2 linked regions of the Nothobranchius furzeri genome follow. The protein of the gene in region 2 binds, or shares a complex with, the protein of the main gene of each other region. Links are inferred from orthologs where the notes say so. Each region holds a gene or a part of one and is shown on either strand. Other genes may lie near its edges.

Evidence for each region.
Region 1: the proteins of protein unc-80 homolog (region 2) and protein unc-79 homolog are in contact, whole or in part, in a cryo-EM structure (PDB 7W7G), measured with the Mus musculus proteins. The link is inferred for Nothobranchius furzeri from reciprocal best matches to the Homo sapiens genes UNC80 and UNC79. Residues at the interface, in NP_780719.2 of Mus musculus: Gln23, Thr24, Trp27, Ser31, Leu34, Arg35, Pro36, Ala80, Pro83, His84, His87, Ser94, Asn95, Asn180, Ala183, Leu187, Phe190, Leu191, Arg337, Leu340, Gln341, Pro342, His343, Arg1317, Asp1320, Glu1321, Asp1324, His1545, Val1546, Asp1547; in XP_030102533.1 of Mus musculus: Thr120, Tyr123, Ser127, Ala130, Thr131, Leu168, Ser169, Ser172, Met175, Ile176, Gln179, Tyr180, Tyr207, Tyr211, Gly212, Pro213, Ser214, Val390, Cys391, Glu394, Glu402, Phe405, Arg472, Cys541, Asp917, Phe920, Ser965, Glu966, Phe967, Ser968.

Annotation. Positions count from the first base shown.
Region 1 is NC_091758.1:31,573,708-31,576,881, forward strand, and holds the end of protein unc-79 homolog, read left to right. Parts: intron 1-1,216; coding exon 1,217-1,400; intron 1,401-1,482; coding exon 1,483-1,686; intron 1,687-1,764; coding exon 1,765-1,842; intron 1,843-1,922; coding exon 1,923-1,964; intron 1,965-2,052; coding exon 2,053-2,241; 3' UTR 2,242-2,589; downstream 2,590-3,174. UniProt on the Homo sapiens protein: Auxiliary subunit of the NALCN sodium channel complex, a voltage-gated ion channel responsible for the resting Na(+) permeability that controls neuronal excitability.
Region 2 is NC_091742.1:61,474,477-61,478,133, reverse strand, and holds part of protein unc-80 homolog, read left to right. Parts: coding exon 1-25; intron 26-95; coding exon 96-361; intron 362-962; coding exon 963-1,097; intron 1,098-1,192; coding exon 1,193-1,331; intron 1,332-1,462; coding exon 1,463-1,559; intron 1,560-1,634; coding exon 1,635-1,805; intron 1,806-1,891; coding exon 1,892-1,984; intron 1,985-2,270; coding exon 2,271-2,489; intron 2,490-3,657. UniProt on the Homo sapiens protein: Auxiliary subunit of the NALCN sodium channel complex, a voltage-gated ion channel responsible for the resting Na(+) permeability that controls neuronal excitability.

The DNA.
Region 1 (3,174 bases), on a different chromosome or scaffold from region 2:
TAATATGGTGTTTTATTAACAAATTACAATCATAAAGAAAACATTTAGATGTTAACAAACAAGAATATATTAACAAAACTGCTTCCAAAACGTATGTGTGAAAGCCGAGTAGATTTGCAGTAACGTGACATCATCGGCAGCTGAAGGACCCCGAGCCGATCCTGCACCCGAGCCGATCCTGTACCGACACCGGCAGGGTTGTTTACGACGGTTGTGATTCTCCTTTCAACCAGCAGGAGGGAGACTTTTAACATTGCTTTAAAAGATAGCCTGTTAGCATTTTTATTAAGAAAAATAAAATATCAGCAGTACAGGAAAAAGTCTTGCGAGAAGTATTGGGCTTTTTAAAAGTGTACAGTCTTGTAAGCTTCTACATCCACTGGATCCAGTCCGTTACCAGTTGTCATCCAGGAAGATCTCCGGATCAGCATATCAGCATATGGATTACTCTGATTATCGAACAGTTTCCAGAATAAATGACTAAACAAGGATTCTAAGCTTTGTATTGAGTCAAATAAACCTCAATCTGTGTTGTTCATTATTATTTCTTCACAGTTTGCTAACTTCTTTACAGAAATGACAAATCTGAGACCATTTTCTCCTTTAGCCTGCTGCTGGTGCGGTATTTTACCTTATTTTAGTCCTACAAAGTGTTCTCTCAATAACCCCTCCATGCATACTCAAGTGGTTGCAAATGAGGACATGCTGCATGTGGAGTGATCAGGGATGGAACTGGTGTTTGTTGGAGCCAAAGCTTTGTCTCTATCTCCTGTTTTCTCTAGTATGAAACTCATCAACACTCATGTAGCTGGTGAGTTAATGGAGTAACAGACAACTGTAGTCCATCTTTGGAACGGCTGTAGTGTCCTCACACATGGTTGGTGCCACTTTGTAACATAGAGATCCAGGTTCTGCTGCTGCCTGGACAAGCTGCTTCATGTTTCTCATTTGCGACTGATAAGAACTCCCTGGCAACAGCCTCTTGTCATTTCATGTTTCTCCAACAGTCTAAAAATAACCCTAATAATGTTCTCCATATGCTTTTGTGTAAACTGAACCAATATTAAACTGCACGCCCAGCTTAGCCGTGTCTCATCAGAATGATCTGCAACAAAACTAGGGTTACAAGTAAAGTTTCCTTTTGTCAGGAAGCATATTTTATAGTTGGGAAGGAATTCTGTGCAGATTTAACATCTCAACCCGTTCGTCTGTGAAGGCCAAAAGAATTCATCGAGTGCGTGTCCCACATCCGTCAGCTGTCCTGGCTGCTGCTGGGCTCCCTGACGCACTGCGCTCTGCACCAAGGCTCCACCTCCTGCATGCCCATCCCTCTAGATGCCGGCTCACACATCGCAGATCACCTCATTGTCATCCTGATTGGCTTCCCAGAGCAGTCAAAGGTCAGGCCGATCAAGTCCCTTTACACGGCTAACTCCAGCCACCTGTGTTTAGATGCCTTTGTAATGCCTTTTTTGTCCTCAGACGTCGGTGCTGCACATGTGCTCCCTGTTCCACGCCTTCATGTTTGCCCAGCTGTGGACTATCTACTGTGAGCAGGCGGCTGCCGCGCCGTCCCTGCAAAACCAGAACCAGACCGAATTTTCGTCCAGCGCGATCCTCACGGGCCTGGAGTTCTGGAGTCGGGTTACACCGAGCATCTTGCAGCTCATGGCGCACAATAAAGTGGTAAATGTTTGACTTAGTTGTTAAACTTGGAAACTGCTTTTGATGCACTTGTTGATTTGACTCTGATGTGTCTCCCAGATGGTGGAGATGGTTTGTCTTCATGTCATCAGTTTGATGGAAGCTCTGCAGGAATGCAACTCGACCATCTTCGTCAAGGTTTTCTTTTAACTTCAACCATTCCTGTTTATGAGTCTCACATTTAATTAGATCATAATCATCCTCACTCTTTCTCTTAGTTGATACCGATGTGGCTCCCCATGATTCAGTCAAACCTGAAGGTAGGACTTAAATGAATCCAAAACAGGAAGTGAGCATCAACCTGTTTTATAATTTCAAAGTAAGACATTCTCTTCCTTCCTTTGCCAGCATCTATCTGCAGGACTGCAGCTGCGTCTTCAGGCCATCCAGAACAGGGTCAACCACCAGTGTCTGCAGGGTCAGGCGTCCGGGGCGCCGCCGTTCGCCCTTCGAAAATGGCTCCAGTGCACCCAGTTCAAGATGGCTCAGGTGGAGATCCAGTCGTCGGAGGCTGCCTCACAGTTTTACCCCATGTGACCTCCCCTGTGGTCACTGCACACCTGCATGCACCTGCCCTGACTGAACTCTGTGCTCACAAAAGGACTCCTGCACAGACGGAGTCATTTTACCTGGAATATTTTCAGCACCTTTAATATAACGTGTACAGAAAATCTATGCTAATAAAAAAAACGGGTGTTTACAGGCTTGTGTTGGTAACGAAATGACTGAGGGGATTTTTCTATTACCCCACATCAGTCATAGCCAGGGTGTAAAATGATTGTTGAATCTTATAAATTATCCGCTCACGCTGTCACATCGATCTCCTGTCACTTTTTAAGTTCCTCGGCCGCCGGCTGTATAATAAAAATACTTTTTTTCTAAACACCGAGACACTTTGTCATTTTGTCCGAGTCGCCAACCCCTTCCAAATTCAAATGTGACATTTTCTGCCCTTTGATGTCCTCGCTGATGTGGAAAACGTCCGGTTTCCCACAATGCAGGTGCGATAAAATCAGCTCTGGAAGTCTGCTGCTCTGAGCGAGAAACCCAAAAGCTCAGACGACGGCAGAAAAATGACATGACAAGCATTACCCAGCTGCTGTCTTAGATCCTTGTCAGACAGTCAGTCATGCTGCCTGCTGCCATCAGAGCTCAGATCGATCAGAGGCCAATCTGAGTTGCGGCAGCGGCTTTGTAACTCGATAACATGGAGCCAGACATTGGAGGTAAACAAGACTATTTTGGTTGTAACCCCCGACATCCTCTCCACCTATTCCACCCTTCTCCTCTTTGGCAGCAACAAAACAGATTGGCCCACGCATATACCAAGCAAACACAATTACCTTTTGGACTAATGCGGTTTGTTGTGATTAAGCATTGTTGTGAGATCTAACTTTGTTACCACAAAGCTCTTGTCTGAGAATAACAGATGACATGACAGCAGGGCCAGAAAGCTGAGCAGCACATTAA
Region 2 (3,657 bases):
TTTTCCCTTTTTAATGAGCCACAAGGTGAAGCAGGCAACCTCTAGATTATTTTAAAGGTTGGGGAGGTTTGACCATGTTCTTCGTTGCTGTCCAGGTAAGGAGCTGTTTGGTTTTGACACCCTTCACAAGGTGCTGTGGATCAAGCTGTTGGAGGAGATGTTCTTGGGCATGCCCAGTGAGTACCCCTGGGGCGATGAGATGATGCTGTTTCTCAACGTCTTTAACGGGGCATTGCTGCTACACCCAGAGGACAGCTCCCTCCTCAGGCAATACACTGCCACCGCCATCAACACAGCAGTCCACTTCAATCACCTCTTCTCCCTGAGTGGATACCAGTGGATCCTCCCAACAATGCTTCAGGTATTATGTTAATGTTGGCACAAAATCTGGTGTGTTTTGAGTGTGCAGAGAGTCATAGATGTAGCCCAAAATGAAAACAAAACACAAAAACCACTTATTTTGCCTTGAAACTAAGATTGTCTCATTTTAAGAAGTGATCAACTTGAGTTTGGTCAATCTTAAGAATAACGTTATGACCAATCTGGTTCAAAATAGCAAGATCTAAGAAAATTTGTTAGCCCTCGGAGCGTTGTGAATGACTCTTAGCTATCAAAACTCTGAACTTTAGCTCAATTGCTTTAAATTGACCGAGGCATGTTTCTGTTTTCTTGGGTCAGTTGGCTTTGTCGGCCATCTTAAATCCTGTAACTATTTTTTTAAACAAACGTTTAATGCATTGGTTGCCATTGGTATGTGAAGAGCATGTCAAGCGATATGGCAAAAAATGCTCTAGAAAACCCTCTAAATTCACCTAGTGCTTTGCGAAATAATTTAGTAACACAACAGACAAAATTATGTTGTGCCTGTAAACTTCTTGAATGGGAAATGATAAAAAATATAACATAACCATGTTAGGAGACATGCTTTGAAATAGTGCGTCCTCCTTTGGTGTCTCTAACAGGTCTATGCGGACTATGAGAGCAACCCTTTGCTGCGACAGGGCATCGAGTTCTGCTGCCGGCAATTCTACATCCTCCACAGAAAACCTTTTGTCCTCCAGCTGTTTGCTAGTGTGGCTCCACTGCTGGAATTCACTGTAAGACCTCATATTGAAACATGAATAGGTGTTTTATTTCAAGGTCATTGTGTTAAGCTTTCCGTTTTATTTCTTTATTGTACCATCCACCCCAGACAAGCACTAGCACTGGTCTATCTAAAGGAGTTTCAGCTCAGTGTCTTTTTGACTTGATGGTCTCTCTGGAGGGGGAAACCCTGGATGCTCTAGACGCTCTGGAGTTGGTCAAGGCTGAAAAACCTCTTTGCTCTCTTGGTAATCTTTAACACTTTGTCTCACGCTTGCTGCATCTGGTTGAAGCATCAGCATAAACAATAACTGGTACTCACAATAGTAGTTTTGAGCCTCATTTGACTTTTAACTAATATATTCTTGTCATCTCACAGATTTCTGTTATGGCAATGAAGACTTAGCCTTTTCTATCAGTGAGGCCATCAAGTTGTGTGTTACTGTGGCTGCCTATGCTCCTGAGTCCTTCAGGAGGTAATATCGCCAATGCATCACCTTCTCTTCTCAACTTTTCTACAAATAATCTATTGCAATTCTTTGCATCAACAGTTTCCAGATGCTGATGGTGTTGGAAGCTCTGGTTCCCTGCTACCTCCAAAAGCTCAAAAGCAATACGGTCACCATGGAATCTGCATCTGCCGCCCGGGATGAGATTGCCGCCATCGCTGCTCTAGCAACATCTCTGCAGGCTCTCCTATATAGCTCAGAGTCGCTTACAAGGTTTGTCTCGCATTTATTGCAAAGAATTGTAGATTTCTCTTTCGTATGATTTCAGTGATTATTTTCTTATCCAAACATTCTCACAGGCCAATGACAGCTCCACAGATCTCCCGTGGTGATCAAGGCCACAAGGGTGGCACCACAGCCAACCATACCATGTCTGGAGGCATCAACACTAGGTTGGAAAAAATTAAAATTCTGCTATTTTGGTGCTTAACCCTCCCACTGTCTTTGTGGGTGACCCTGCGAGTAAAGTTGACCATTGAGCAGGATTGATGGTTTATCCCTTGAGGTCCACGTGGCAGGGGTGAGTTGGTGCTCACTCCTCACCCCTGCCACATGGACCCAAGGGATAAACCATCAACTTTGCTCAGTGATCAACTTTCCTCGCGGGGTCACACCCATTAGGACAGTGGGAGGGTTAAAAGTTAAAAATTCATAACTTAAGGTGGTTTGCATTCATAGGGACAATCTCCACCTGGTGGAGGAGGGTCAAGGCATGCCAAAGGAAGAGTTAGATGAGCGCAATGCGAGGGAGGAGTTCCGCCGGCCACGGGAGTCATTGTTAAACATTTGCACAGAGTTTTACAAACACTGTGGACCACGACTCAAAATCCTTCAGAATGTTGCTGGTGAGCCTCGGGTCACAGCTCTGGAGCTGCTGGATATCAAATCCCACATGAGGTAATGGAGTCTTTTACCAAGACAAAAGAAGGCTGATGTTTTTGTAGTAATGTCTTCACTTGTGTCTTTTCATAATGTTAGCAAAACGTGTCATGAACATCTGGCAACATTTTAAACCCTCAAAATGTACATGCACAACCAATAAATGTTCAACCTTAACCAGATTAGAGATGGCCATTACAATCAGTTTCTAAACACATCCCATGAACGACTAGCCTGGCAAGCCAGACTAAATAAATGTATTATTTAGTCTGGCAACGCTCCATTGACAGCTCTCGGTTGTGGGGCGGGTTCTACCGTTGTCTTTCAAATGATCTCTGCATTCCACTGGACAATGAATGTGACATACTCTTGTTTCACTCTGTTGCATCATCCCACCTACCAGGCATATAGAGTGCCCTGATTGGCCCACAAAGCGGATAAAGCTCTGTGATTTGTTCACTAAGCAGATAGAGCACTATGATTGGCCCACCATTATGGAACAATCACAGCTCTTTATCTGTTTGAAACCCCTCTAGAGAGCTGTGATTGGCTAGCCAGAGTCCTGGTAGGAGCTGCGGAGGTTCCAATGGAGCGTGCCTAGACCAAACTTTGCAAAGCAAGAATTTGGTCTAGTACACTAGGCTAATGAATTACTGAATTTTTCTGAAATTTTTATTTTAATAGGACAATCGAATACATTTTGGAGCCAACTCAGTTCAAGATGGCTGCCACAGCTGATCAACATTATAATAAAACAAGAATTTCATCATATCTTTTATATGTAAATTATTGTCGGATGCATATATCTGGTGTGTATGTGTGTCAAAATAATGTGTTCATAACAGTTCCCTTGCCACACTGCTCCTCTACATCACAAATAGTGTAACACTAGCTTTCCTGTTGGTTCACCTCTGATAAATGTTCCCCCAACTGCTTTACATCCACCCAAGTGGCAAAAAAAGAGATATACCTTCTTGCACCTAAGGGGAACAATGGATGTCACAACATGTTTACATTTTCCCCTTTAGTTTTTAAAATACCAATATTTGCCCTTAACTTCTTATTTTTTGTCTGTTTGATGTCATCATTTTAAAAATATTAGACCAGATGATACTCAGTACTCAAGTAGCCTTCTAATCAGATACTTTTTTTTACCCTTACTTGAGTAATAAACCCTATATCAGGA